Kluyveromyces lactis: one gene and its partner. The protein of the gene in region 1 purifies or fractionates together with the protein of each later gene. This does not show direct contact. Links are inferred from orthologs where the notes say so. Each region holds a gene or a part of one and is shown on either strand. Other genes may lie near its edges. The genes, in order: VPH2 and VMA22.

Evidence for each region.
Region 2: the proteins of VPH2 (region 1) and VMA22 purify together in Saccharomyces cerevisiae (affinity purification with western blotting; 3 studies listed by BioGRID, with this or other methods). This does not show direct contact. The link is inferred for Kluyveromyces lactis from reciprocal best matches to the Saccharomyces cerevisiae genes VPH2 and VMA22.

The regions. Positions count from the first base shown.
Region 1 is NC_006038.1:1,118,337-1,134,635, reverse strand, and holds VPH2 (Vph2p), read left to right. Parts: upstream 1-10,437; coding exon 10,438-11,055; downstream 11,056-16,299. Other genes in the region: KLLA0_B13002g (uncharacterized protein), read left to right, coding at 1-463; KLLA0_B12980g (uncharacterized protein), read left to right, coding at 921-1,793; RNH1 (RNA-DNA hybrid ribonuclease), read left to right, coding at 2,147-3,259; long-chain fatty acid-CoA ligase FAA1, read left to right, coding at 3,844-5,949; CLD1 (carboxylic ester hydrolase), read right to left, coding at 6,381-7,661; MYND-type zinc finger protein MUB1, read right to left, coding at 8,093-9,970; SRT1 (ditrans,polycis-polyprenyl diphosphate synthase), read right to left, coding at 11,154-12,239; OAC1 (Oac1p), read right to left, coding at 12,571-13,530; KLLA0_B12804g (WD40 repeat domain-containing protein), read right to left, coding at 14,603-16,299. UniProt on the Saccharomyces cerevisiae protein: Required for vacuolar ATPase assembly.
Region 2 is NC_006039.1:1,285,251-1,301,451, reverse strand, and holds VMA22 (Vma22p), read left to right. Parts: upstream 1-9,655; coding exon 9,656-10,168; downstream 10,169-16,201. Other genes in the region: MRPL28 (mitochondrial 54S ribosomal protein mL40), read right to left, coding at 1-255; KLLA0_C14916g (uncharacterized protein), read left to right, coding at 872-1,132; LFT1 (Lft1p), read right to left, coding at 1,176-2,240; CGI121 (Cgi121p), read left to right, coding at 2,489-2,962; TFIIH/NER complex subunit TFB3, read right to left, coding at 3,154-4,110; KLLA0_C14850g (uncharacterized protein), read right to left, coding at 4,416-6,299; PMT7 (putative dolichyl-phosphate-mannose--protein mannosyltransferase), read left to right, coding at 6,850-8,739; SRB7 (Srb7p), read right to left, coding at 9,004-9,435; GIC2 (Gic2p), read right to left, coding at 10,488-11,594; KLLA0_C14740g (uncharacterized protein), read right to left, coding at 12,066-12,626; and 2 more. UniProt on the Saccharomyces cerevisiae protein: Required for V-ATPase activity.

The DNA of each region.
Region 1 (16,299 bases):
GGGCAGCTCCTCCGTTTGGGATACCGCCGTGTCCGGATTCCAAAAAGTGTTACAAAAGCCGGGATTCACCGGGTGGTCATCACCGTTCTCCAATAATTCCAACTACAACAACACAGTGGGAACCTCACTAGAAGTAGAAATAGTATTCATGTGGATTGATATTCTATGTCGAGACTTCTTCCACAATAACGGCGAAGGTCCTCCGTTAGACAAATTGAAGAACGACCAATACCAGCAACTCATGCTAATTGCCAGTCTGTTCGACAATGAAACCTGTGAATTGAAACAAACCATAGAAGAAGAAGACCAAAGGTCCGTACCTTCTCTATCGCAATCGGTGATGGTCGCTCTGCGGATATTGTGGTCGCGTGGCGACCACAAATACGTGATGAGCCAGATTCAATCACGTGACCGTGATATTCGAGCCGCGGTGGCAAAACTCAGAATCACCTCCAACGACTAGTGATTATGTAAACCTACCCGTACCTTCTCCTTTTGGTTCTGTATTGTGATAAGGAAAATCGAGACAGAAATGGAAAGGTTTTGCAGGGAAAAAAAAAAAAAGAAAAATGGAACCTAAAAGGGTAAACGGAATGTGCTTCCTTTTAAGGTTTCCTTTATCGAATGCCGTTATCTCGATGACTGCATAGACGTTATTCCTGTCTAGGCAAGTCAGCTCAGTGGTGATCATATTACATGTGGAGAAACTGGGCATCTTTTATATCTGGTAAGTGACAGCGAGATAACCACATACATATACATTTATATATATATATATATACAGTGAAGAGATGTATCAATATTATACAAATGGATATGACCACTATTGAAGTTAGCTGAACAATTGATCCAGCAAAGACAATTATCACTGAAGTTACCAAATCCGTTAAGCAAGTACGTCAGGGAAATCATAACATATCATGTCTTTCACAGCTACTCAGGAAAAGGTTAAGAGCGAAGAAGTTGGCACCTTGAGTGCACGCACTCAAGGTGTTCACAACCTTTCATCTGGTGGAATCAAGTACAAGCATATCAGACCACAGTTCAAGGACAAATACGAGGAGCGTAGACATACTTTGGAGCATATGGCTGCTGTGTTTAGAGCTTTCGGTAGACGTGGTTTTGGTGAGGGTGCTGCTGGTCACGTGTCTGTAAGAGATCCAGTAGACAGAAACACGTTCTGGATCAATCCTTTGGGTTTACACTTCTCTCAGATGACAGTGTCAGCTCTAGTGCATGTCGATGAGGAATGTAACATTTTACCTGATGGGAACCAGGCTGCTATCAATGCTGCAGGTTTCAAGATCCACTCTCATTTACACAAGGCAAGGCCAGATGTTAATGCTGCTTGTCATACCCATTCCACGTATGGTAAGGCATGGTCTGCGTTTGGTAAACCATTAGAAATGTTAAACCAGGATGTTTGCATGTTTTACAAGAAGCATACTGTGTACGAGTCGTTTGGTGGTGTGGTATTGGAAGATGAGGAGGGACAAAGACTGGCTGAAGCATTGGGTGATAACAAAGCAATCATCTTACAAAACCATGGGCTTTTGACCGTTGGAGAGACGGCGGATGAGGCAGGCTATTTATTTACCTTGATGGAGAAATGTTGCCAAGTTCAGTTGCTCATCGAATCGGCAGTCAGATCTGGTCTTGAAAAGAAATTGATTGGAGATGAGGAGGCTGATTTCACATATTTCAACACTTCGGACCCAGAAACATTATACACAGAGTTCCAAGTCGATTACGATCTCGAAATGGAGCTAACCAACGGGGCATTCCTCAAATAGACTGCCTAACTAGTTATTAAGTATCACATTCTAACGTACGTACATATAATGATGTAAAATAATGATTACATCACGTGACTCTTGTCGAAAGGAACTACGGAGGCGGAAAAAGTAAGCATTAGGAGTCCACCATTACACTTGACCTTAGCTACCGTACCCCCTCTCAGATCAGTAAAGCTGCCATTTCGTTCTGTTTACTGATTGTGTATTTACAAATATTAAATTCCAACGAAATGTCGTCTAATGTCAACTACTTACTAGAAATGCCTTAAACGAACACAACACTACAACAAGCAAAGACTGCCAAAGTCTGTGATTCAAAGGTGCAGGCTCCACGTCTATCTGTAATAACTATGGGTAAGAAAGGCTACTATGCCGTTGCAAATGGCAGAAACGTTGGTGTTTTCGATTCATGGTCTGAATGTCAAGAATCAGTAAACGGTTACTCGAACGCGAAGTTTAAACGATTCGATACGCCAGCGGAAGCTAGAGCATTTGCCAACAGCAGCAGTAGCTCAGGACACTCATTCCCATCTACATCGTCCAAATCCTACAGGTCGTATTCTGGATCCAGTTCAGGGTCCAGTTACGGGCACTACGGAGGCCATCAGCAATCTACTTACAACCAAGCACCCTACAACAGTCACAGCTCCTATAGTAATTACCACTCAAAAGCAGCAGCAGCAGCGGCAGCGCCACCACCACCACCTTCATCTTCCTCATTCTATGCGGTGAGAAGTAGTGACAGCTCAGTACCAAACAAAGTGTTTACCAACTGGGCCGATTGCAAAAGCTACGTCGAAGGCCGTAGAAACCTTTCCTACAGGAAATTTGACACTCCTTCTAAGGCAGACGATTTCATACAAGGACGTGCCTCTAACGAAACGATATATTCGCATCTCAATACTACGGCGTCCCAATTCTCACAAGCTCACAAAATCACACCTGAACGCCGTTCCCAAGTCCGTGTCCCAGCAGCACCATGCAACGTTTACTGCGATGGATCCTCTTTCAACAATGGATTTGAGGGTGCAAGAGCCGGGTACGGTATATATTTCGAGGGCGAGGATAGAAGAATCGCAAGACCATTGACGAATGGTAACCAAACCAACAACAGAGCTGAAATCTCTGCTGTATCTGATGCTCTCTCTGACATTTGGGACAATTTAAAAGAGGGCAAAAAACTGAACAAATATGTGATTCATACCGACAGCGAATATGTCTCCAAAATGCTTAACGATTATGCGAACCATGTGGACCCACAACAACTACAAAAGGCCCCAAACGCAGATCTAATTGTACCAATGGTCCAAAATTACACCAAAGTTAAACAATTCTACGAAGTGAACAAAGACGTTGTCAAAGACAACGGTCTCGAAGTGAAATGGGTCAAGGGACACGCCGGTGTTCCAGGAAACGAGATTGCAGATCAACTGGCTAAAGAAGGAGCTATGAAAAGGCATTAGATAAGCGTAGAGGAATTACTTGGACCCTGAGTTGTCAACCAGACACAATGAATATCAAAGTCGAAGGGGGAATGCAAAGGGAGAGAGCAAGGGTCCAACTTAGAGAATGCCAAGCCATCTTTCATCACCAAATAGACACTAGATGATTATTAGAGTGATGATTAGATCCCTGATGAGCATAAGGCTATGAACTATTACCACATAAACCCATACACCACATACTGAACACAGAAAACTCCAACTTTTCACCAAAGTTTCTCAACAAAAATAAAGGAAAGAAATGAAAATTTGAAATTTCTTATAAACGTCATCTTAGTTTCCAAAACAAACAAACATACAGATAAAAACAACTCGTAGCAATAGGAGTTTCATAAAGGGTTTCCAGTTCGTTTTCTGCTATTCAAGAGACTTAGTTTATTGGCTTTTGATATATATAAGCTAAGTACAGGAGCTAAATAAAAGAAGGTATCTTTATTTCTTTGACTAGCTAACAATACGGTTTTTTTGAGATCCGGTTTTTAAGGTCATATAAGGAATCAGCTGTTTAAGATTTCCGAGAGAAAATAGGGACAAATAAGCAAGCAATGGTTGTTCAGTATTCAGTTCCAGTCGGACCTGCTGCTAATGAGCATGAGACTGCTCCAAGAAGAAATGCTTTGGCGAAGAAGGCTCCAATTACGAGGCCTGCCGGTATGAAATGTTCTACTGTTTATGAATTTGCCGTCGAATGTTTTGAAAAGAACGCTGACCTTAAAAGTGTTGGATGGAGAGATATCATCGACATTCATAGGGAGAAGAAGATGGTCACTAAGAAGATTGACGGCAAGGACAAAGAAGTTGAGAAGGAGTGGTTTTTCTATGAATTGAGTTCGTACAAGTACACTACTTATAAGGAGTTGAATGAGTTAGTTCATGATTATGGTCGTGGGTTAGTGAAATTGGGGTTACAACCGGCTTCTGAGGATAAATTGCACATCTTTGCATCAACATCTCATAGATGGATGAAGACATTTTTGGCTACGCAGTCTCAGGCCATTCCTGTGGTGACTGCATATGATACTTTGGGTGAAAAGGGTTTAATCCATTCCATGGTTCAAACCGCTTCTAAGGGTATGTTTGTTGACAATGCATTGTTGTGTAGGTTGCATAACGCTGTACAAGAGGCTACAAACTTGAAATATCTAATCATTTCTGAAGAGTTGAACCCAGAGGATAAAAGGGATGAGGGTAAGCTTTACAAGGACGCTGCAGACGCATTGGCTAAGATTAAAGAGGTTAGACCAGACATTAAGATTCTTTCCATGGATGAAGTCATCGAATTGGGTAAGAAGGCTAGAGATGAAATTGAACCACATCCTCCAGCCCCTGAAGATTTGTCAGCTATCATGTACACTTCCGGTTCCACTGGTGATCCAAAGGGTGTCATCTTAAAGCATTCTAATATTGTTGCAGGTCTAGGCGGTATCTCTTCCATTATTAGTAACAGACCAGAACACGTTTGTCACACAGATCGTGTCATTGCATTTTTGCCCCTGGCTCATATTTTTGAGTTGGCTTTCGAATTGATCACTTTTTACTGGGGCGCTACACTTGGTTATGCGAACGTTAAGACGTTGACCGATGCATCTGTTCGCAACTGCCAAGGTGACATCAAGGAGTTCCAACCAACTATCATGGTTGGTGTTGCCGCTGTTTGGGAAAGTGTTAGAAAGGGGATCTTGGCACAAATTAACAAGCTTCCTGCGTTAACTCAAAAGGTGTTCTGGACAGGTTACTATGCCAAATTAAAAATGAAGAAGTTCCACATTCCAGGTGGTGACACTCTAGGTAACATTTTGTTCAAGAAGGTCAGAGAAGCCACCGGTGGTCATTTAAGATTTGTGTTGAACGGTGGTTCCCCATTGTCTAGAGAAGCACAAGAGTTTATCACAAACTTGATTTGTCCAATGTTGATTGGTTATGGTTTGACTGAAACCATGGCTAACACAACTATCTTACAACCAGAACATTTTGAATACGGAGTCGCTGGTGACATTGTCGGTAGTATCACTGTCAAGTTGGTCGACGTTGAAGAATTGGGCTACTTCGCAAAGAATTCTCAAGGTGAAGTCTGGATTAAAGGTGAACCTGTCACTCGAGAATATTACAAAAACGAGGAAGAGACTAAGGGTTCTATCACAGATGATGGCTGGTTCAAAACTGGTGACATTGCGGAATGGACTCCAAAGGGTCAATTAAAGATTATTGACCGTAAAAAGAACTTGGTGAAGACTCAGAATGGTGAATACATCGCATTAGAGAAGTTAGAATCCGTTTACAGATCTTGTCCATTTGTTCAAAACATCTGTGTTTACGCTGATCAAACAAAGGTTAAACCCGTCGGTATCATTGTTCCAAATGAGGCTGCCATCACCGAGAAGGCTATCAAGATGGATCTACTGAAAAAGGGCGAAGATGTTACCCATTTGTACCACAATGACACTTTGAAGCACGAAATCCTCCAAGAAATGTGGAAGGTTGGCAAGAGCCAAGGCCTGAGCGGTATTGAATTGCTCCAAGGTATTGTTATCTTCGAAGAAGAATGGACTCCACAAAACGGATTTGTCACATCTGCTCAAAAACTACAAAGAAAGAAGATCCTTGCTGCTGTTCAAGACGATGTTGACGAAGTTTACTCTAAGTCAAACTGAATTGACAATGTCCTGTTTGAAAGGCAAAAACCATGTAATTCTCATGGTCTTCCCTTTTTTTTATCGTATCGAATGTCAAATTTTTCCTTGACAAACAAACTATAATGATTTCCACAAACTTGAGACAGCTATATCTACTAACTTACTTCCATGTCCGGCGTATAATGTATTATTACGGAAGTAAAGAGAACCGACTGATGAAATGCTTTTTTTGGCAAAGTTTTTAACTAATTGGTGTATAGATGCTCTATAACGACTTTTAGCATTTAACTCATTTTAATTATTCTAAAACAATAAGACAAGCATTAGTACACCACATGTGTCTTCACCTTGAATTGAAAGAGAATATTTGAACATGCATTTTTGTAAAAACATAAACTACAAACGTCGTAATATGTATATGATTGAGGTAGCACCAAAACTCAAAATTCTCAAACAAGTTCCTTTCTCAAAACATTATTGAAGAAAGAATCATTATCCCAGTACAAATGATGACCAGCATTAGGAACTATCTCCAACTTGGTGTTGATGCATTTTTTCCTCAAGAAATCATTTATTCTCCTGGCACCATTGATATCCATCCAATCGCTATCACCGTACAACCACACCCAATCCAAATGACTGCTGTTGAAGTTCTCTTCAGTAAAGAGTCTTGTCTCTAGAGGAACTCTTGGCCATCCACCGCAACCTAACATGAAAGATAACATGTATTCTCCAGATCCAGGTTGGTTGAAAATACCGTATGTGTAATGGTGCAACTTATCAAAGTTTGGATGATGCAGACCGAATCTACGAGCTGTCCACCCACTAACTAATTTTGAGCCCACATGGCCAGCATTTCGAACCAACGAGAACGGTGAAATATTTTGATCCCATAGCTTTAAAAACCACCATGGAGGAGGGGGCATATCTTTGTTCCTGGAAATTCCTCCAGGAGAGCACATGAATAACTTTTTGAAATGTTTATACTTGTTGGCATAAAGCGAGAATATGTATGCACCCATCGAATGTGCAATCACGTAATTATTTTCCCAACATGATATAAGTCCTTTTTTATCGAACCATTTGTGCAAGGCATCATGGAAGTAGTCTTCTACCGCAAGATACGAATCCTTTGGATAATGGAATGGGAACATTGGTCGCGAAGAGAAGCCATAACCAGGTAAATCGATGGCATGTACCACCACGTTTTCTGATAGCAACGCATTAAAGTTTTTCAAGTAAAAACCTAAACCAGCACCATACCCATGAACCAAGATTATATGTTTCAATGGTTTTCCATCACTTTCTGGCCGTATCGGTGTGATTTGAAATTCGTTAATGTAATTACCAGCAGCATCTATAGGAGTCTTGATGATTTTGGAAGAAAACCTCGCAGATGGCTCAGGATAGTACGGTAACACTGATAATAAATCCTCTTGGAATTGTTCTTTATTGATATTGTATTGTTTATAATCTTTAAGAGACTCTGCGAAAGATAATGGGAACAACTTATGCAGATTAGTAACAATCTGAAGCAGGGGAAGACCAATAGGAGCAGTAGATTTACGTACTGTATTAACACGAACAGATTTCTTATTCGTGGAACCTACATTACCAGTACCAGCAGTGACGCCTACATGCTCTCTTTGTAGTTTATTGAACACCCCAATGACTTCTCTGTAGCGTCTTGCTAACCTCCAAAGCTGGGAAGAAGAAGACTGGCTAGACATGTTTTAACGCTTGATCGCACAACAAAGTAAACGGATTCTAGTAAAACTTTTAATTATAAGGTAAAGCTTGTAACAAACGATCGTCTCCAGATCAATTGAGCTATAACTCTTTCACCACTATGAAGAAAAATCACATAAAAAAACCGTGAACCTGAACAGGAACTTTCAAAAGTGCGTTCTTAGTGAAAAGAAAAAAACACCAAATGTATCTTCACTGGCTCCTGAACAACACCTTATATTTCAAAACAATAAAGTCATCTCATGACCATCTATTCGTAAACCAACTGCTCTTCTCTTACTTTTACGTATGTTGAGCCTTTCCGATTTCTCAACATCCCAACAAATTCGCAAAAACCATGCGATGCTGAAGAGGGAAATGGTGTTACCCGACCATTACGTTATCATGAGTAGACACGTGACCGTAAAGATCTTTAGGTGTCCTCGCTAAGGTGATGATCGGTATCACCTGGTGTTCGGTACCGCTCAGTGGTTGTATTTGGTGTTGGGATGATCGTATCTCCAAAGCCTGTTGTGGAAGGAGTAGTTGGAGGGATTGTTGTAGCTTCTGTTGGGTTTTGTTGTTGCGGTTGATGATGATGGTGGTGATGATGGGTATTCTGATGTTCTGGATCCGTGTCTGATTCAGAAGCGTCTCTGGTAGGCGTTTGAACTCCTGTACTATTTCCAGTGGTGTTTGTTGAGTTTGATTCTTGACACCAGTACCTATGAAATTCCCATGATTTCAGTTGGCACAGTCTTGAGCAATATTTGGTGCGCTTACACCTTCTACATTTGGGGAACTGTTTTGGATGATCTTCCCATTTCCCACAGCTGAAATTAGCACACTGCCTGACTCCTGTAGCCTCATGTTTCCTGCACGAGTTTCTCATTACCACGGAGCTCCAGTAGTGCACGATTTCGTTTAAGGAGCCCTTGACGGTAAACCTTTCTACAAGGGCGAATAGGTTCATTGTGTCACTATTGAAAATCTTATCCCAGTCATCATCGGTCAATTCTTTCGAGAATTCATGCTGCTGGCAATATTCCTTGAATTTATCATGTAACGACTCCTCCTTCCTCAACCTGAAATCAAATATATCGACATTGTTGTTGTTATATTCTTCATCCTCTTCGGTGTCTTTCACAAGGCAAAGATGCTCAATCTCTTTGAAGTATTTTTCTATTAAAGTGAGGTCTGGTGAAAGGTCCATCTTATCCTCCGGAGGTTCATCAGTTTCTTCGTCGTATTCATCGTCGTCTTCATCATCCGCTTCTTCTTCGCCGGCAACGTGCAACGTTAGGGGTGTCATGTCCAATTCCATATTTTTTGACATTCTGATCTTTGCATTCTCAAGAATCGGCCTGAACGAAAGTGTACCGACGAGATTTGTATTCTGTAGTATTGGCTTCACCGCAGTGTTTTTAGTCAAGAATGCCAGAAGTTGTACAGCCCATGTAACATCATCTAGCTCTGGAATCACTTTACCCAAAAAGAATCTTCTTGGTGGCAAGATTATGACATTTTCCAGTGCAGAGCCCGGTAAAGGTACACATAACTCTTCTTGAGCAAGACTTTGCCAATCTGTATCCAATTCTGTAATAAAGTTAGGTTTCAAATGTAGGCCAGCTACATTCTCCAAGTCAAATTCAAATTGGTTCTCGGTGGGTCCCAATAACAATTTCAACCTTTCCATCGATATGAAATCCTTATAGTAAGAGTCCTTGGGATCCACTTTCTCATTTGATTTCCTCAATTCATCGTCCGTAAACTGGAATAGATCCGAATCCAAATCTGCTAGTTCACTAAACGTAAAGGGAATGGCCGTATTGTTGATGAAATCGAAATTCTTACAATAGATCATATAGTTATCCAATACAGTAGCAATAATCGGAATTATGCCGGACTTCACCACTTGCTCTCTTATACCAAGTGTACCTCTCGTACCAGTCAATACCAAACACTGATAAGCCAACGTCCATTTCCATGATAAATATGCCAGATGTCTGTCTCTCTTGACCGTTTGTAATGGATTGGATTGATTCTGTGCCGAAGATACCATAACCTGTGGCAAATTCGTTATAGGGATATAACATTCGTGTAAAATTGATACCAACCGCTCCAACGCACCGTCACGAGACATTGCCTCTCTTATCAGGGTCGACGTGGAGCATAGGAACGCCAGATGGTTCAATGAATTAATTAATGGTAAATCAGAAACATTATCCAAAGCTCTTCTATCGTAAACGGTCTGAGATATACTAACGGTAGCACGATTACCAGTCACCGATCTGTAATTGGTCTCTCGCATTCTTTAAAAACCGTAATTCCAGCTAATGCACACCAGATATGATTATATTATCTGGAAGTAGGTATTTATCGCCACCCTTAATACAGGCTTCTATCAATGGTTTACTTTGCTTGTGTCAGATTAAATCCTTTTATCGGTATAATAATCAGCTCTGAGAAGTTGAAAGGAAACAAAAGACACTGAAATAGTACAAGTAGCACGATCACTTACTAGCCGATCTATCTATCAACAGTACAGTAGCAGCAACTAATTTCGTGATGGTTTCTTTCTTATCCAGTGCATATATTGTATTTGCCATTGCATAGACAAATATCAACAAAAACATCTCAGTTAAAGATAATTAATTTAAAGGTTTAGTGCTAATGAAAGAAGAATGGAACTTTGAGAAATTATGAATGAAATAGCAAACGAAGTTATCTACTAGGGTCTGTATCTACTGCAAGGCTAGCAATAAGACAATTCTACATATGTTTGACATTACCATCGACGAGGGGCTCTTAAGACAAAGACTTGAAAAGTTGAAAGAAGATCATCGGGCATCGTTAAGTTTACAACAAAATAGCATATCATTTGAGCTTCTATCGGAATTGTACCAACAGTTCTGGAGGGATGATGCCACCGTAAGTATGAAACAGCTATTGAAGAGTGGGAAACTTCGATACAAGGAGAAAAGAGTTCCTGGTGAGGGATACTCTGAGTCATTCAAAGCTGAGTTGGAAAATCTGAAGGCACTGCAACAGGAGAAAGAGTACCAAGAGATGCTCAAGCGAGATTCATTGCATCTGGCCGGCTCAACAGCTGACAAGGAACCCTCAATTGCACAGATTAACAAAGAGATTAAGGAGCAGGTATCGGCAGTAGTCAATGTATTATTGACAGTGTTCGGAACCATCTACGCTGTTTGGTACGTGACCAGAACAGGATGGGATATTCACGTCAGGGTATTGCTCTGTCTATTCAGTGGCCTTCTAGTGTTAACAGCAGATGTGGCAATGTACAACGTTTATAACAGGAAGATTGAAGAGGCGAGAACCACCGAACGTAAGAAGAAAGTTACTAGGAAAGTGGTGAAAAGGTTAGTGTAAGAAAGAGACTTTAATTTCGGTTATACAGTCAGTATGAAGAGGGCAAGTAAAAGTGTAATATGGATAGCCAGAGGTATGGGGGAAAATAAATTCTGATTTCATTTCCGGTCAACGGAAACGGCCAATGGTGCGGCAGGTAAAGAGTCTAGTGCAACACGTTTAGTTCTTTTCAAAGTTTCAATCGGTAGAGCTCCAGATATTTTTGGAAACACGCGAGTTCTAGTACGAACAGGATCTGGCAACTGACTGGCGTTTTGCCAAGTTTGGTAGAAACTCCACTTCAACATTATCCAATATAGCCTCCAGAAATTAAAATCTGGCCATAGACAGTCGACAAACTCGATAATACTACCTTCATGGACCTGCCATAGCATATAATCTGACAACCTTGTGTGTCCACTTGTTCTAATCAATAGATCACATTTATTGGAGTACTGTTCGAAATACATGTTATCAGTCAAGGCTTGTTCTGTGATATCCTCGTTAGAATTGATGCATTTGTCGGTGGTAACCTGCATAGAATGTGCAATATCGTTACGCGATGTGTAGGGCAAGGCAAGGTACAACACGAACTCTTGTCCATCACGAGTCAATTTCTCTGCGTTACGAATCTTCTTGAGCAACTCTTCACTCAATAATGAAAGATCTCCTACGACTCTTAGTCTAATTCCGTACAACTCATCCTTAGCATTTGTTGCACGTTCAGTAAACTGATCGATATAATATCCCAAGAGTTCCATGAGAGTCGCGACTTCCTGAGGAGATCTATTGAAGTTCTCAATGGAGAACGCATATGCACTCACACTACTCACATTCAACCTTCTGCAGATATGTAAGATGTCTATTAATGTTGCGCCTCCGGCTCTATGACCCTCTTTCACAGGTTGATCCAATTTCTTTGCATAACGGCGGTTCCCATCCATGATAAACGACAAGTGTCTGGGAACAGGACCCATCCTGAGGATCCTTACCATGAACATTTGTAGCCATGCAAATAGCCTTGAGAATGGATACGATCCTACATCCTTGTAATTTAGCCGCTGACGTATCTGTTGCAAACTTAAAGAACTCACTTTATTGAGGTTTTCATCGTTCTGTTCGAACAAGTGAGATACATTCTCACCATCCAATGTGACTAACGGTTTCTCTTGGCCCTTAGACCCCTTAAATAGCTTAAAAGTCATCGCTTTTGCCTTGTTTGTTTCCTATTTTCGTTCTTTACGAAGTGGTTGTTAGAAGAAATAACTAAGCGCTTTCAAATCAAAAGATCTTCTTATATATATATATGTATTAACCTATAACGGTTTAAAACACGAACCATATAAGGGGACAACGATCTTTGCCGCATCCTGAAACGCCTGAAACATGTATGCGACTTAGTGATACATTGGATGAATATTAAAGATCAACTGAATAGTTAACTAATTTAAATTAAAACTGCATTAAAACTAAACTAAACGCATCAGGCTTTCACTTTTGCATAAACCTCTTGTTATCAACAAGGTAGTTGTGATCTTATAAGAACCTGCTTTCAACTGAGTATACCAATTTCAATGTTTGTTCCATGAAGGTTAGACATAAGACTGTATGAGGTCCAATTCTAAGAATTTGAGCTCCGAAACCTTTGTATAGCGCTGAGAGACCTTCGTTTCTCACTGTCTTTATGAAACAGTCAATTGGACCGCTGTACAAGTTGCCCTTTTGGTTATAGACTCTGGTTAGCACGACATCCCATGGATTCATGGCGACACCGACACCGAACCCTGCGATAGTGGAAGACAAAAGATGTAAACCTGTCCCATCGTTCATCAAGTCGTGTTTCAAGAGGAAGTTCTTACAGATGTTGTAGATAGGCAATTGAACAGCAGAACCGATACCGGTTCTTAGCATTGCTGCGTCAACACCTCTGAATAAACCTTTAATACCCTCGCTACGGAAGATAGTTGCCAACCCGTTGAAAGCAGAGGTATAATGCGTTTGTTGACCAATATGAATGGCGTTGGAATATGATTGCATCCTGGTCTTGACCAAGAATAATGGCGATCCGATGAATGCACCGACGACACCGGAAGTAGCACCGGCGGCAACGTTAATACCGATGTGCTGAACCTTGTGTGATTCCACGTTAGGGTAGAAAACGTTGTTAAGTATTCCTCTAATTGGTTCATAGAATCCCAAACGCGATCCGTTTAACGCTATTTGGTAAAGATAAGCACTGGCTAAACCTTTTTGCAACCCAGCGATACCTTCGTTTTTGAAGATAACTCCAAAGGCCTGAATTGGATTCGTGTATACTTTGGCAGCATTGGCATGTAACTCACCTTGCAATTGCATTCTGGTCTTAACACAGTCAAATGGATTCGTCACAGTGACTGCAATACATGCGGCAAGACCACCGGCCACGAAGGACCCAAACTTACTCACCTTGTGAGCGGCGGTTTTCTGATTATGTTTCTCTTCTTGTGGTTGGGACATCGCTGTGTACTTTGCTCAGTTCAGTTCAGTTCAGTTCTTCCTTATAAACCAATACAGTTTCAAAATCCAGTTGTATCAATTCAATTCAATTTAGTCAAAAGTCGAGTGGTTGCTTATTTCTACAATCTAACTAGATCTTATTTGCATCTACTATCAAAACTTCCTCTCTCTATGTCCGTTGTTTCGTTTCCTCCACTTGTCTATCTACGATCAACTAAAGAAGCCTACCCGAACAAAACTATTTAAGGCTGATACGTCACAATTGATGCATGTTACAGAATAAAACCAAGAAGCACCATCAGGCATATATATAACAGATTCTGATTGATGAAGTGTTCCATGTTGATACAGTTACCATCCACCACCAAGAAATATCTCCGATCATCTTCCACAGCGATTTCTCTGTTTTTCTTGTCGTGAAGTGAGAGAAAGAGCTCAGTGAAACTTTTTACTACAGGTTTCAATGTGAAATTAGTCACGAATCGTTCGTAATGCCTCGTGACTCGAAGCCGGTTCCGGAACAAAATATCCTTCTGCACCATCTAAAGACAGTAGAGGATTTTGCACGGTAGAATATTTCGCATTGCTTGAACGGATAAGCTATACAGTATCAATGATCGAGAAGATATGATATTGTTGGAAGTGTTTCTTGTGGATCATTGTGTCTACGAGATTTTTTGTGCAAAACCTCTGTTTCTTCGACACTTCCCACGTCCTCTGGATTATGAAGGGTGTTGAGCATTATTCGGTCACTCCTCAGACGAAGCAGGAAGGGAAGGATACGGAGCTTTGCGTATGAAGAGGCTTTATTAATTTCAGTACCGTTCCTGAATGCTCCGATGTCACGAATGTTCAGTAAAGTTGGTCGAATTTAATGCAATCCGGAATAGTACTTTATCATCTGTGATTAAACTTTGGAGAGTAAGATTGAAGAATTTGGAGTTAGGGATTCTCTAAATTATAGTAGTACAAAGACGTATTGAAATAAAGAAAGAAGATTATTTTGGCCGAGAAAACAAATGCTATGAAAATTTGGAACTATCACTATGATACTTTATTTAGTACTACAATATCACCTCAATGAGGTGTACAACGCACCGCAGTCCAAACAGTAGTATTTCACGTTTTGAGGAGCTTGATTGAACGACAGTGTTTGATCAGTTGCAAACCGTGTTCCTCCACATACATTACAAACCCTAGATTGGGAATGTGGTTGCTGTTGTTGTAATGTTGTTAATGATGAAGATGATTCATCGACTAATGGTAAAGAATCTTGCATTGGGAACGGCGTGGGCCTTTCAATTGAATGTACATTGTGACCATTGCTGCCATTACCGACAAACGTGGTTGCAGTGCTCAAACTACCATTGGTAGCAGCAGCAACACTGCTGACACCGGAGGTTCTTGGCTTTACGGACCCCTCACCGTTTTCCTTCAATTGCTTTTCAATGGCATTAAGCCTGTTTAGCACTTTTTTACGAACGTTAGATGATATATCACTCCGGAACACTCTAATCACACCTGTCGTATCAGCACTCACTACGATACCTCCGATAAATTCTATCAACGACGGTGGGTTAGCAGCTGTCGTACCATTGACAGCGTTTGTGGTACGATTGTCACCATCAGATATTTGTATGTTCGGTACATTATTTGACTGAGCGCCAGACACACCACTTTTCCCCTTTACATTAGGAATCGTCTTATCAATACTGATTTTCCTTCTGCAATCGGTTTTCTGTCCATCATTAGATGAAATGGCGTTCCCGTTTTTCTTGGCTCTGGCATTCTTTGAGGCGCTTTCCATGGTAAAGTCATCCGTAGTCTCCCAAAACTGCATCGTTAATTCACAGATTAAATCGTTACTCAACGACAGAACTTTTGTCACCTGCATGGGCACCGCTGTAGCACATGTAATTGGATGATGGTGCGCGTGGAATCCAATGTAGTTTGAGTTTGAGGACACTTGATGATTTTTGGTGTAGCCACGAGACAAAACAGCGTCAAGCGTCTCCGATGCCACAGAATCGTTGTTGCGTCTTCTACAGAAACTGCGCAGGGAACCTGATCTTGAACGGGTCGACTTTGAGTCCTTGCTGGACGTTTCAGTTGATTTTACTACCTCATCAGATAACTTCCAGCAGTATATCCAGTGGTCTTCACTACCACTAACAACATAAGCCTTTCCCGACCTCGTGACTGTGCTATGTGCCGTGATTTGGGAATGCTCGTTGGAATGACCTTTCATCACCGAAACAAACTCTTGATTTAACGTATAAATTCTTATTCTTGAATCGTTGCTGCTGACAAGGAACCAATCACTGACATCCTTGGACGAAATCTTATAATTACGTGCATCCTTTTGTATAAACTCTAGTCCTGTAATCTTAGGACCATTTTTTGCCTTATCACTTGATTGCTTCTTTAACCTCCTGCTTGTCCTATGACACTTTTTCAACTCTGAGTCTTTATCAAGGACGTTAAAACTGAAAAGTAGTTCCAAGGATTTGGTTATTAATACGTGGATATAACCGTTAAATGTACCCAAAATTGTATAGTTACCATCATAAGATATATCCATAGCCGTAATCAAATCCCCACAATCATATTCGAATATTACTTGCTTCTCTAAGATCGACCACAGCCTACATTTCTGGTCAAGGCATGCGCTTAGAAAGAACCTATCGTCTTCTGGATGGAATCTGACCGCTGTAACGAAATCCGAATGTACAAACGTCTTCAAAGACGTAGGCCTTGCACAATGCCATA
Region 2 (16,201 bases), on another chromosome or scaffold:
TCTCTTTTCCCTCAGTTCCCTTTGATATTGCGCCCAACAAGCTTGAATCATATCATGTTTGATCAAATCTTCACGGGAAAGTTTTAAAAGTTTTGGCTGTTTCCTGCTAGCAGACATAACAGAGAGTTGTGTAATGATTCTTTGCGCTTGAGGATTTAATCCACCTTTCGATTTAGTTCTTTTCCCACGAACAAAGTTCAAAGAGGGTTGCACTACCTTCAAGGCATTCTTACGAGATGCTGCACTCGCTAGCATAGTGGATGGAGTATTAATGATCCTTTCGGTTGGCTGAGAAGCTGTATGCTATCACACGAACTTATCGCAGAAAATCAACCCGTATTTAATCGTCATTCAATTTATTGTCAAAGCTAACAATAAACTCACTGAAACCTCATCGAATCTTCAAAATTTTTCAAAGTTACTGATGTTGAACAAACAAATGTCTGTTACCCGGAACTGTTGATTATTTTGACTGCTAAACTCTTTTGCACGTGACCTAAAAAGGTTCAAGTACACAGGGAGTAGCTGCCCTTCGACTAGCTGGTAGGTGATTAACTTCCGACTTGTCTTGATTACCTGCTATGCCACCTCACATAATGAAAAATTGAATCTAACAAAGCCTGGAATACCTTAGATATCATATTTTCCTTCTTTTCATCTTTACATCTGATATATGATGATATAGCATTACGCCATTTGTAAGGTTTTAAAGGGAAATCTGCACATCAAGGACCCTGTTTGAACCATTTATAATGTATAGAAACGACAATATATTTTAATGGCAATCAGAACCGACGCTGTTCGAAGAGTTGAGATTTCCCTTGGACCAACATTCGGAGTCGTAAACAGTTAAACTCAAACTTACGGAAAGATGTCTCAAGACGATCAGAAGCAATATCCTGATGAGAAGAAAAGTTCCTTGCCAGAGGATCCTCCAACGTATACAGATGTTCTTAAGGAAGACAAGGCACTACGAGAGGAGCAAGCAGAAAATTGCAATCAAGTGGGTCATATGAGCACCAACCACATACCAGAGGCAATCGTGGCTACCCCGGTACGCAGAGAACAAGTTATAATAACGCCGGCTCAAAAAAAGGTATATAGTTACAGTGCTAATGTAGATGATATTTAAATAGGATGAGAAATAAATATATTAGGCCTAAAAAAAGTACGTATCACAGTATTAACGGTGGCGTTGAACACTTTAAGTGTTCCTCGTCATCGTCGAGGTCTATTAGCGACAGGTGATGGTTAATGTTGTCCGATACTGCGTTATTGGTAATAGTCTGAGTGTTATCGGGATCAGAGAAAGGAATCGATAACGTGGGGGACCGCGAATTCGGTGATACAACACCAATTTTATAATCTTCAAGCTCTGGCGACCTAGCTTTGTCTCTGTGGTTTCCTTCGTCAGTATGATGGGTAAGGGATCCCCAAAACCAAAATTTGCTCTTCCTTTTCTCCTTTGGTCGCTTCTTCTTCTCTCTCGGTAAAGCTTTGGCGACAAATGGTTCCAAGGGATCCATTTTAAATTTCGGCTTGACATCATCACCATCCTGTGAAGGCAGATTGTTTCTATCATTTTTATCCCGCAGTTTATTGAGCAGAATTTGCTTACTTCTTAATTCATGAGCGCTTTTCATTGCTTTACTCCGTAGTATTTCATTTGTTGATTTCTTATTGGAATGCGGTTCCAAAGGCTTCTTTGGTGCGGTCAGCTCCGGTCGATGAGCATTTGAACTCCATGCAAATGTAACATTCTGTGTAGTCATTGAACTGTTGTTTAAACTACTGGAACCGTGGTTCGTTTCCTCACGTCTCCATTCTTCTTTGATTTCATGATATTTATCTATCATGGGGGTTTTTAATGGTTCAGACCACTTATCATAATTTGGGTCTCTTATGCGTAAGAGTTTGTCTTTATGTCGGGCTATCACCTCGTCTGCTAGCTTATATACCATGGCTTTTGTTTTTGAACCCTTTTTAGTATCGTCTAAATCCTCGAAGAAGCCTGCCTTTTCGAATTGTTCTACAGCTGTACGAACTTTTCTAATATATTCGTCATCATCATCATCTTTCTGATTCTCAAGCTTATTCCCCAGTGGTTGTTCGGTAGCAATTGGTTCTTTATGCGCTGCTGGTCGTTCGAGATCATTTGGTCCTTGATCCCGTACTACTTCGCTCAACTGCCTTTCCTCAAAAACACTATCCCAAACGTTTTCCTCGTCTGGAAGCTCCATTGACAGTACATATACCGTTGATATAGCAAAGTGATCACTTATTGTGTTTTCTTGTTCTGAACCTTTTGTAAAGTTTGTGTACTCATGGTTTTCTATCAATCTTTCTACGCTAGAAACTACTCGGATTGATTTGAAAGATTTAAATAGTAAGTCAGTAACAGTACAGATAATCAGAAAGTGAAGTTAAAAGAAGGACCGATAGTAGGCGACTTGCATCCAAGAAGTTCCAAGAGCTCATCACAAGACAAATGGCTGGAATAGTTTTGAAGTACAAGATTCCTCAGTTTCAGGAGTATACTATTCATGTTCAGAAGTATAACAATGTTACCAATTCTTCTGAGCTACGATCCAAATTGGCTGAATTACCTTTTGCATACATCGACTCCAAAACTGTGATATCCGTTGAACAATTGTCGAGTGCCATCTATAAGGCTATTTTGGAAACAGAGTACAATAGAATGCGGACAAGAACTATCCATTCTGAATGCATTTTATCACTATCTCCTAGTTCGAACATTGGCGATGCATTGAACAGATTTGGTATAAAGGAAGGAACAACTGATATAATTGTGATCAAAATCATTGAAGACAGTAATGAAGAACCCTATGATGGCAATGCTTCCGTTGATGGGGACCTAGTTCCAGTCTCGGATGATGAGTTTTCTACATCTGCCGATAAAGAAATTATCAAAACGGTATGTATTCCTTGTGATAAGTTATGAACAAATGAGAAGACTCTTAATAATGAATAGATTACTAACCTAAATGCTATATGATTATGATGAGGATAAAGAGCTACCGAGCTCTTTACCATTGTACTATGTGTTTTTTTTTTCGGTAGAATTACAAATTGAATAAAGTAGGAGATGTATCAAACGAAGAGTTATCAACACTTGCCGTCAACGCGATACAACTAAGAGGATTGTAATTCTTCGCTAATGATACAACCAAGACCCATGAATGCCTCTGTTAACATTCTATCATAAATGAAGTCCGCCCTGAATCCTGAGGCTATATATTCCTTCTTCTTTTGTAAGTCTCTGATGAAAGAATCATTATACTCGTTTTCAACCAATTCGTATCTTTTGTGTAAATCCCTGTCCCCATTGAATGGTGTGAACGGTACAGTATCTTTCTTCTTCATTCTACCATTTGTCATTGTCATGTAAGGATTGTTTCTTAACACTTTATTTAATTCTTCGAGCTTCCTTCTGGCAGAGGATTTCTTTAGCTTGACAGTCTTTTTCACATTTTCAATAACTTCCTCAGCATCTTCATTCACTGTGAGCTGGTTGACAATTTCTCTCTTTGCCCACTCCCTATTAGCCCTCTCTTCTTCTTCTATCTGTTTCTCTAGTAGTCTTTTCTTTAACTTCATTTCCTTTTCAAACTTCTGTCTCTGTTCGAAGTTAGCGACATCTTGTTTGCTCCGCTCTAAATTTGCCATGATTAGCTGTTTGTTTAATTCTTCGTAGGTTCGTAACCTCTCCTCGGTCTTCTCCATATCAATACCATGGTCTAAGTTGTATATAATATCTTCCACTTCTTCTAGGTATTTATCATAATCGTCTTGGTTGTTATCGAAATCTTCCAGCGTCTTGTTAAACACATTGAAAACACGTTTTCTTATATCAACTTCCTTCTCGACACCTACATCATCAAAGATTTGGGTCTTGAACTTATTTCTTCTCAAAATTTTATCGCACCCTTCGTATGGACACTGAGCAGGACCCAAACTGAATATACGATCCACGCATGATTCACAAATTTTATGATAGCATTCTGGATTGATCAAAAACTTCATATCAGGCGATAGATACCTGTCTGTTTTACAGATAGGACACATGTCCTTCTTCTCATCTTCATCCATGATGACGATTCACGTTGATTCGTAGTCCCAGATGATTTAGTTTGATATCTATTTCTTATTCATTGTCCTTACAATTTGTTCATTATTTATCATCAACTTTTCAAATAAAGGTTTCTTGTTTTATACCACCGATATTGAATGATATTGTATGACAGAGACAGCTAAAATCACAAAATGATGAGAAAAGGATTACTTATGCGGCAGGCAAATGATACTGAAGACAGTAAAGGGAGCATTTACTGAGGAGACCTACTGCGTTGGTGAGCAAAATGTGGTTATATTGTGTATATATGATTTTTTATTAGCTAAGTTGGGGCGTTTATTGCCTTTCTGACAGAATTGTATATTTTATATGGCATTAACTTCTTCATTGTCTTAACAGGTTGCTGAAGGAAGGTTGATGTAAATACGATTATCTTTACCATGGTACTAAGTAGAAAATTTTTTGATGGAATTGTTTTACTGCTTTTATTGGTTTCTTCATCTAATCTTTCTCTCAGAAGAGGAACGTAGCTTTCTTCAAAGTGTTCGACACTTGATACAGAAACCAGTTTTATTGATTCGTTCTGTTCAACTTTTGTGGACTTTTTGAGCAAGGGGCTATGTAAAATTGATGGTGGGTTCAAAGGCGGGGTTGACTCCAGAAGAATGTCTTCATCTACGTCTCTGCTCTTGCAAAAATTCATTACCGTACTTTTATCTTTGAAAATGTTAGCGTTCTGATTCTTGTTCACCCTTCTTTGTGCCAAATCTTCCTGTTCCTTCAGATCATCCGCTTGCTTTTTAAACCTATTCAAACCCTCTTGTGTCAAATCAATATAAAATATTATGAGCATTACTGCAAATCCAACTCTCTGGGAAGAACCAAATCCTATGTGCCAGAGGCAGGTGTAAATCGGAGAAGAATTTCCATCAGGAGCCAAACATAAATGTATGGCAGAAGCTCCTATTGAAACAAGAATCGCATTCATTAGGCCATATATGAATAGCTCTTTCCAGTATTTTCTCAAAATTGGATGCAATTCATCATATTCCATTAAGTATTGGTATGCATAATCATAGATTTCCCTGATGGAGAAAGTAATATCATATATGTTTCTTGATATCACGTAAATAGTCATATAGCAACCAAAAAGCCTATCAACTTCAGATAAAGTTAGGTATTTGGTATTAGTCAGTAGGTCGTAAGATTTACCTGAGAAAGTGTATTGTTCGTCTGAGAACGACAAAATATGTACGGTGACAAAATAAGCAACTTTCCATTTCACTGGCCATGAAACTATCCATTTCATGTTCATAAGCGCATTGAAATAAGTTGGCTGTTTTTCAGGAGGATCAATAAAGTGATTGAGGTATACAATTTTTTGCGGGAACATTCCTGGTATTTCTTCTCTTATCTTGTTGTTCTCTTTCTCTTTCTCTTCTGCTTTGGCTTCTTTATGGCCGGTATCAATCCTACTTTGAATGAAATTGTTAATGTTATCAACTTTAGAATACGTTTGCTTTATGTCTTCCTTGATGGTTCGAAGTACTTCTTCTACTTGAAAGTACTCTTTATCGTCCTCACCCTCTTCATGTCCACGCTTCACAGGATACTCGAATTTGAAATCTTTATTGTGAAAAAGGGACTTCTGTTGATTTTGATAGTCCTTGAATTCAATGACATTCCCTTTTTCAACTAAGCTAACTCTTTGTGGACGTTTGATGTAATCAGGAAGAGGATACCCAAGAAGTTTAGCACATTTTTCACTTATCTTTTCAGATGTAAATTCGCCATTCAAATCACCCATCGGTTTAAAAAGTTTATCAGTTTTATTAATGGCTCTTCTTTTCAATTCAATCTCATCTAATGGCCTCCATGACAGTTCTATCTCGGAATCTGTATCGTTTTCCTTGCTATCATCATTATCAAAATCGCTATTATTCATTTCCAAATTCTGATTCTCATTGTTTTTGTTAATTGGATAAGGATACTCATTCAAATCATGTTGAGTAGTGGCCAACAAATTTTCCTTGGTATTTCTTCTTGGCATTGTAGTCTTCCTGGTTTCTTTCAACCTCTTCATCAATGCTGTGAAGTCAAAACTCTCTTTTTCGCTATCTGTCGTTGTGCTCGAATTTTCATCTAGAAACTGCCGCCCAAGAGCATGTGGCAACTTATTCGGATTTCCAAGCCTGGGTTTACTCATTGTATAGTTGATGACTTGGTTGAAATTACTCTGAACTATTGGCTATTCATAAGTTTAGTTTCAGGTTCAAGCCGTTTTGTTTTTGGACAGACATCCTTAGTGATTACGATATTGATAAAACTGACGTCTTTATTGAATATTTTGTGTCAAATTTGAAAACTCGAACAAACACAAACGCGAAAAAGCTCTCGAGAACAAACCTGTTGATGAATCTATTGGATCGATAGTGGCTTATTAACTTCCGAGTTGCTTTCAGTGTATGCGTGGAGGTTCACGGTGGCATCCATCGTGCTGCGAAACTAAAATAGATCATTCTCTCACGTGACAGTCATTTGAACTGACTTTGAAATATTTCAACTAATAATAGATTCATATGACCACCTTAGATACAAAAATAAAGGAACCTCGATTAACGTTGGAAAGTGAACTGATGCTTACCACATTCGATCCAAACAAGCTTGTTTTCATTGGCTAGAAACAATATCAATCTTTAGTGTACTTCACGGGATCCTGTTGCTAGGTAGAGATCAATCCTGGTCAGAGATTAACGATGAGTACAAACCCAGTTCGAAAAGGCAGATTTAAAGCCTATATCAAACATGATTACCAGTCATTTATCAAAGGTGATTCGCTACCATATGAAGATAGCCTCGTCTGGGACCTGGCATTGAGTGCTTTAACAGTTGGTTATCTTTCAATGGTTCATTCTGATAGATATGGCGATATTTCTACTAGTGAGTTTGAGATTTGGAATCAAATTACTGATAGAATAAAGGGTAAGTTTTTCATTGCAACCAGTGTACCAACATTAATTGAGGTGCTGGCGAAGCTTACTGATATGTACTCTTTGAATATTGAGTTCTGGAAAACAGCAAATAACGTGGTCTTGGCTAGCGTCCTGGTAACGTTATACGGTATTTTAAGGAAATCTAGCGTGTCAGTAATGATTAGCTTCCTAGTAACGATAATGTTCTCGCAGATATCAAGTTTCCAAGATTTAATTTATACGCTCAACTTTGACTCTTATCATTTGCTAGCCTTAACGTTGCTAATCTTACATTGGAGGAAATTTCAGGCCTCCAAAGACTTTTCCGTCGATTGGTACATGAATATAACACTTGTTTCGATGTCATTGATTTTCGTTATAAGTGGGAAATTCATAGGGTTGGTCTCTTGGATATGGCTCATTATAGTTTCTTTGAAATCACTTTGGATTGTTGTGGGTGATTTGGATGTTAAAAACAGACAACTTTTTGCCATTATGTTTTGTAGGTTATTGTTCTTCGTCGTTATTCCCTTGATGTCTTTATGGTACTCTTACTCATCATTAATTGGTGGTTTCACAACATCGTCAAACTCAATAGCGTACATGTCGTCATCTTTCCAGCATTATTCGATGAGCCAGCACAATGATATTCCATCTTCCATCATTTACGGCAGTTCAATTAGGCTTCGCCATGTTAATTCTTTGGGCGGATATCTATCAGCCTTAGAAATACCATACCCTAAATCTAACGACACATTGGTAACAGTTTCTGACGATCCAGATGATGAGGCTAACTTTTGGATCATTGAATCTAATAAAGGAAGAAACACTGAACAGACAGGTTCGAACGCATTAGTAAAACAAACGGACAAGGTGAAGTTGAGAAACAAGAAAACAGGTCAATTATTGAGAGCTTCTGAGGAAAAACCTCCAATATCAGACAAAGAATATGATAAGAGAATATCAGTAACGGGTGACAGTGACTATCAAGGGGATCAAGATGAATTATGGAAAATTGAAATTCAAGGGAAAGCATCATTCAGAGAAGTTTTGAGACCTTTCAAACAATTCATTGTTTTAAAGAATCCAGCTCGCCGTTGTTCGTTGCTTTCACATGAAATCAAAATTCCGCATTGGGGTGACAGGCGTCAAGAGGTTCTCTGTGTCGATCCTGCCAGAGTCAATAGAGCATTGTTTTATATTGACTTTGTCAGCTCGCCTGAGGCTGGAGTTGTTGAGAAATACAAATGGGCCCCTGAATACCCTTTCTATAAATTGGCTTTTGAGTACGTTGTTGGTCAATTCAGATTGAACAAAAGGCAAAACATCGATAATACGAGCATGTCTCCACCTGATTGCCTGTCTTGGCCGATTCTTTTCGACAATAACAACCAAATCGGTAAAATCTTATGGATAACTTCTACGGTATCTGTGGGCGTGTACACTTTCATGGAAGCATATTCCTGGTTATCTTGGAATATTTTTGAAGATACTTTACTTAATACCACTGCAAACCAATTAATGAAAAGAGAAGTCACCTTGGAGGCATTTTTAGGTTGGATCCTGCACTTATACATTTTTACTTACAGCCTGCACAGAAATCTTTCCGTTAACCAGTATATGCCCTCTCTATTATTTGCGGTGATCATTCTTTCACAGTTCTCTGTGTTATAGAACCAAGAATATCACAGCGAGCGGTGGTGGCATGACGGGGCATGCGGATGCTATGTTTAGTGATGATGTTGCGTGTCATTATAAAAATAAACGATGTCAGACAATCTGTCTGACATCGTTTCGGAGAAGAAGAAAAGGAAAAGAAGCTAAATATCTACTATATACCACTTGATACATTAGACACTATGTAAAAGTATTCTTACTCGCAATTTGACGTTAACATGTGACCCAATTTCTACCGAAGATTTCAAAATGATTCCTTTCTTATACTAAGCGTGCTTCTGTCTTCGATTCATTAATGCCAATCGTAAAGTCTTGGGTAAGTGTTCTTACTTTTTCTTGCAAAGCGTCCTTCCTTTTTATCGCGTCTATCTTTTCCTTCTCCATTTTGATCAATTGTTTCTGTAGTGAATCTATCCTATGTAGTTGCTCTTGTGCAGATACGTCTACTCCGGGTAGAGAATCTATTAGAGCCATTATCTGCCTTGTTTTAAGTATGATGTCTGTTGTCAATTCATCTATGTTCTTTTCAAATTCCTTTTCCTCAACAATGTGGGCCTGAGGATCTGACATCTGCTCTTCTGAATCGTTACTTGGTTCAAAACCATGGTTCTTATCGACATAATTTACTGCACCGCAAAATTGTTCCATCATTTGGTCCAAACATATTTGTAACTGGGTTAATCTATCGGTCATTTTTGTACACTCTTCCTTGCCTCTACTGGAGCTGGTTTGTCGCAATATTGCTAACTTTCTTTCACCTTCGAATTCGTTTATATAAATCATTGACTATGATTAAGTTACAAATATTTCAGACAACTTCAAAAGTTTGGTTTAAAACGTTTATGACTGAATAATATACGTAATATGAGAAGAAACTGCCACGATTTGGATATTAATAGACGCTAGGAAACCAATGATGACGGAGGATGACATATATCAACTCATTGTTAAGAATCTTGCAACCTATGATTCTCTATTAGAGCAGTTGCAAGCTAGTTTTGAAGAAGGTTACCATCAGTTGAGCAGAGCGAATTATCACAATAAGAACACACTTCGAGGATCATATGGTAAGGATTACTGGGACGAAACTTATACAGGAAACAGGTATATCTCCATTAATGACAAGCACTCTGTTTCGGAGACTGAAGAGCCGTTGCATATTGCCAATGACGAAGAAATCATTCCTGAGAAAGATGAAGCAACCAATGAGAATTTAAAGAAGAGAAAACAAAGAGAAAAACTATTGGCAAAGGTGAAGAAGGATCCTATATATATGTTCGGAGGTGCCCTTTCAATCCCAAGCTCTTTGAAACAATGTCAATTATCTTTCAAAGCTTCGATGCCGGTACTTTATCAACTACTAGAACTTCGACGTACTCTTAATGGTCTACTTGACGCACTAGGGACTCTGTCAAATTCAGCTTAAGAACTTTATAATTGCTATGGGAATGATCTTATATCAGAGTTAATACAAAAGAAAACTATCTGTACAATTGCTAATTTGGAAAGAACAGTTTACTGGAAACGAAAATAACGTTGGATGGCGCCAATTGAAAGACGTACAATGAGTGTATATCTGTACACATGCAGATTGGGGATTAATTATTAATAAATGAACGACGAAGGGTTAATCTGTATCAAAAAGAGAGCTGATTTCAGTAAATGCAATAACGAGTGAAAGATGGGTATATTTTCTTGAGAACAATTGTGAAAGTGAATGGAATGGCCCTGGCCACGGGTGAAGATCATAGAATAGATTTATAGTAAATGTTTGAATTTCTAGCGTAGGAAAACTCACTAGAGCTTTCATCCAATGACGATCCAGCATCACTAGGCTGTAGATAGCATAATAAAACATCATCAACTGACCTTCTGGTTCTTGGAGAGTCTAAGTATTCTGATGGCCTTAAAATTGGTGTCAGAATTGGATCAGAGTTTCTTTTCAATGAGTGCTTTGGTGTAATTGATTTTTTTGGTACTGATTTCAAGTCATCCAAAAGCATAGTCTCTAAAAGATCCGCAGAATTTACTGGTGTTTCCCATTGGAATTTGTCTATTTTCTTGTCTCCCGTTTCAGGTGTTGATACCTGGAGGATTGATTGTTCTTCTAGCAAAGTTGGGAACTGATAGTTTTTTAGGAAATCGACATCTACTTCACTGGCATCTGATTGAGAATATTTATGCTTCAAATGTGTCTTCTCTAGGGTAGTTAATTTTGAAATGGAACGCATATGCGAATCGTTTAGCAAGGAGGTAGCCATTGTTGAAGTTGATGTCACTCTTTGGTTCGAGTACGTACTGGATCCAACCGAAGAACGTTTTGTAGATGACCCTCTAGAAACCAGATGGTGTTTAGCATATGGAATTGCATCTGTTACGAAAGCTTTAGTCATTTGCGTTGGGGAATTGATTGTTGAGTTTGTCGGAAATTTGGTATTTTCCGGTATATCCTGTAAGTGACTGTTAGATGGTGGTGGTGAATCTGCAGTAGGCATTTCAAATCCTGCCTTAGAATCTGCATGTGAGATGTGATTAAATCCAAATGGGACAGAAATTTTTAACTTAGGAGGTTCTTCTTTACTTGATTTATTTTGAAACAGTTTTAAGAGGCTGTTCTTCTTCTTCTTGAAAGATTTCTTTCCAGATTGTTTATCATACGCATTTGGCGGCAATGGAGGAAGATTAATGTTTTTCCTATTACTTAAGACAGGTTTATCACTATTGATCATTACAACGCCCAATTCATCATCATCGTCAGAATCCAGAAGCTGGTGAGCTTGTAAACCATATAATTTTTCTGTTTCATCGTCTTCATCGAGCCAGATCGACTTGATCTGAGGTACGTTCATCATAAGTATTGGCCCAGATCTGTTGGTTGTTTTATTCGGCAATGCCTGGTTTCTGATGATTCAAATCATGGCCTTTGTACCCTGGATCATGTTTATCCGTTTATATATACATATATCGGCCGCGTCCACAGTGGTAATGTTTCATGCATTCCTAGGTTTCACAATTTTCTGACATTTTTCGCATCTATGGTTAACTACTACTGGATTCAGTTAATTTAGGAATTCCTATATTAGGTAAAAACACGATTTTTCATTTTCGCACCCTCTTCAGGAATGCAGATACGTTTCGTTGATCGAAAATTAATGTTTTCTAACCTCTCTAATTCACCATCGCCAATCCGGTTTTTTCTTTTTTCTTGGGTTTCATGTCTTCTTTTTTTCTTTTGGCGGCCGTTATTTTTTCTCAAGTTTCTACGGCTTTTTTTCGTGGGTTAGATAAGTCATTAGTTGACCCAACATGGTTACCAATTACGACTATTTCACATTTTTACTCCATAGACTTTCTAGACTCTTAGAACTGGCGGTTCTAGGTTCCTCGGACTCTTTGGAAAAGCTTGGTTGGGGTGTGTATTCATCGGAAATGCTCAAACTATTGAAAGAAATTTCAATGAACTCAGAAAAGTCTTTCACTATCGCATTATTCTCGGAGTCATCTGCTGAAATCGATGTCGGGGTGAGATTTACGCTCAATTTTCGTCTGTTGGTTGAATCCATTCTCGGTATCACTGGCCTAGTACCTGCTCTATAATCTCTCTCCATTGCAAAATTCATATATTTGATTTTATCCAATTCTTGGTTCGATAACGGTTCTGTAACAAAAGCCCTAGAGCGCTTGGAAAGGAATGTACTATTATTCGTTCTTGCAATATCAGGTGTCGTTGGACGACCAGCCAATAAGTTTTTAATGTCATCGCATTCGCTCAAGGACTTCTCTATACGTTGTTCCCAATTTTCTTTCCGTTTATCCTTCAAACTGCTTCTTTTAAGAATGGAAGAGCGTCTCCATTTTCGTAAGTAACTCTTCACCTCGCCCATTTTAACTTTGTGTGGCACTTGTTTTCCCAAGTTACTGCCTTACGTACTGTCTGTGTTTTTTATATAATAGACCGTTTCTATGTAAGGCGGTTTATGATTCGAAGAAGAAAATCGTAAAGTCTCCAAGCTGGATACTTTTATACTCTTTTCAATAGCCGCTGAGCTTTTGATCGGATTTACACCATGTATGTGTTGCGGGTAACAGTAACCTGCTCTTTTTACAGATATTAGAATGAAAAATAACTTTGGGTTTAGAACTTGATAGTAAGTTTGACTTTGGAAACTAAACGTAAAATTGGACATGTTAAAGATGAACTCAAAGTGGATTGAAATCACCGATATCATTACTCTTACCCATAATTTCCTAAATTTACCTTGTATCCATCTTTTGCTTAATGCTTATTGTACTATTTTCCTTATATAAATATAAAATCTATTATATATCGTATTATCGGTACTATTGAATGCTTCGAGAGATTCAACAGTAGAAGTGCAGTATGAAAATTAAGTTCATGGTAATTCAGCTTTTTGTTCTTTTCGAGTCATCACTTTCCAGTGTATCTGGGTTTTTCCTTTTGACTATTTTGAACGATGAATTCTGTGTAAAATCTTCATTGACTACATCTTCGTTACCAATACAAATGACTTGCTTATAGCTCTTATTTCTTAATCTACCATTTAGAAGTACCAAACTAGCAAGCTCGCCCATGGATTTACGAGATTTGTCATTCGGAAGCCCAATAAAGTTCAAAATGCTTGTAACTCCAATGACATTACGACATTCTAGTGGGCTGGTTGCTCCACTACTGACCACGATTCCTCTGTTCCTGCAAGTTCTGATCACACTCTTCACGTTAGATACGAACTGCCTACGTGTTCTGATATCTCGAAGAGCGTTAGCATAAACAATTTCTACTTTGACTCCTCTCTTAATGCAACCCCCCATCATGTGATGTTTCAAAAGTGTAGGAAGCCTTTTGTCGTAGTAAAATGATAGCACATCAACATCCAAGCTAGACGTTACGAGAGTAACAGCCTTTTCACTGACTGGAAGGGCTGCCACAATATCGAAAGCTTGCGATATCTTTGTCAACGGCTGGCCTTTTGAAAGGTCATCTATAATAATTGTGATTCTTGTATATAGCTTTAATCCCGTAGATTTCACTAGTTCATCAAAATGCGATAGATCGATAGGATTCATATCATTGATTGATTTTGGGAATTTATCCTGTTGGTTTACTGTGAAATTTAAAGCTATGTGAGTGTACCCTAGTGTATGCAATGTCGCTAGAGTCTTGTGCAGCGTTTTAATCTCCTTCGTGGAAGGCGGTGTTGCAAAATCCTTCTGTGGCCAAGGAACGTTTAAATCAACTAACATCCTTTCAAATAGCTATTTTGCTTTGCAAATTTGGAAGGAGTATTTACAAGTGATTCAACAGAAACTTTTGTTTCCATTTGAGTGTCCAGCATACCTCATCTCATGCTCATGTTTCATTATTTACTAGATTTTTTTTTTGGTAGATTATTGTAATGTCTTTTCCGAAAAAATTATACTTGAAGATATTATAACATACTATGAAGTACAATCCTTACTTGAAAGCCCAACTGTTGAAAAATACAACTTTAAACTTCATCCAATCGGCCATGTCACAATGTTTTTGAGTATGAGAACAATATTATCTAAATAGAATAATTGTCAGTTTATTTATAGAGTACATACCTTACTATTTGTTCCATAAAGTGATAAAATGTCCGTTAAAATAGGTTTGATGAAAAACAGCGCCCAAAAAGGAACCATTATGATCTATGTGCATAAATATCATTGCGTAGAGTTCACATCTTCTGAATCTTTCGGTAAAGAAGGTAAGTGCTGATCTTGATTTACAGCTACCGCCCCAGTAGCATGGTTTGTATTTTCTTCAGTTCTATTTCCAGCCAGTTCCGGAACTGGGGTTTCTGACTGTTGTTGGACATGCTCAGTGTGTAATTCCTTTGTTCCCTTGTCTGCGGGAACATCATTCGTAACATAAGGCTGTTCTAGAGGGCCTTCACTGTTTTCTTTGTATGGAATAGAACTTGATTTCTTGTTTGAATTTTTGCTACCATCTTCTAGGAAATCAAGAACCAAAATATTATCGATTTCTCTATTAATATTCATGACATCGACGCCATTTTTACCAACAAGCGGTAGTTCAGTGCCTCTGGCGAACATCCATTCTCTCCAATGAGTATTCGTATTATCACATAAATCAAAAAGAATCATTTTTAAAAGGGTAATGTGGTTGTAAAACCATGAAACCGACCTATTGATGAAGACTCTGTAATTTTCCATTTCTTTGATTGCATGCAACAATGTATAATTGTGGAAACCTCTCTTATCTTTCGACTTGTCTCTCCAAAACTCAAATAATGCAAATAAGGCTTTCCGTCTTTGCCAAGTTCTCTTAGATTCTCTTAGCTTTAGACCTAAACTTACCAATCTATTCTCCCAACGGAATTCCATCAGGAAATATTCTAATGAATTGACGTATCTCTCGGTTAATATGACATTGGACAAAACTTGACAAGCCATTGAGGTTTCAATCTCAACGTCTGGTTTAAGGAAATACGCGTTGATTCTATCCTGTCTTGTTAACTCGGCGTAATCTTCTTCATGCATTGTTAATTTAATCAATTCGTCTTCTTTGTGTCTGAACTTCAAATCCAAATACTCTCCCGCTGTGATTGGAATTGTAGAACCTTTTCTATAAAAAAAACCTTCACGGCAGTAAAGTTCCACAGGGGATGACATTAACAAAGACGCTGCATTTTCTTGGGATTGATTGTTAGAGCTTGGTCTTCCCCTTTTATCTTTCTTTTCTGGTAACATCGGAATCATCCTGCTCATCTTTCGACGATCATGCAATGTTAGATGCCTTTTCTTATTTGGTGATTCACCACCAGATTGTAAAGTGGTGACGGAAAAGTTATCCTGCGAGTTTTCTGTCGAATCAACAGATAATTGAGAACTTGGTAATGCGTCTGCAGATCCTTGAGGAGTCGAATTTGGCATGTCTAACAGATGAGGTCTAGCCGAGCCATTCTCTTCTGTTTTTACACCAGTAGATGCATCATCATTCAAGATAGACAAGATTCTGACCTTACGTGGTCCCTCTGCTTCGTTGGACATTTGAGATCGATCACCGATGTCCGAAGATGTTCTTTTCACAGAGCCGTTCAGATCCTTGTGCTCAGAATTCAGTAACGACGATTTTTGACCGTTAACATCATCCGCACTTGCCGTAGAAACTGAGCCTACATTGCCTGGTTGTTCCAAATTGTTATATGCTGATATAATTGTTTGTGGTGTCACAGAGCGAGCAGAGTCTGGAGGATTAGACGAAGGTGATTGAGCACCAGAAGAATTCTCCGCTGTTTGCGACAGGGAGAAAGGTACTTTTGATAACTCTTCCAAATGTTTACTTGAAAGTTGATATTTACCCAACGGTACTGGAACGCTGAAAGGCACCGCTGTCATTCTTTTCTTCCGTTCTTCTTGTTTCATGGCCATGAAAAGATCTTTGTTGAGTTCCATG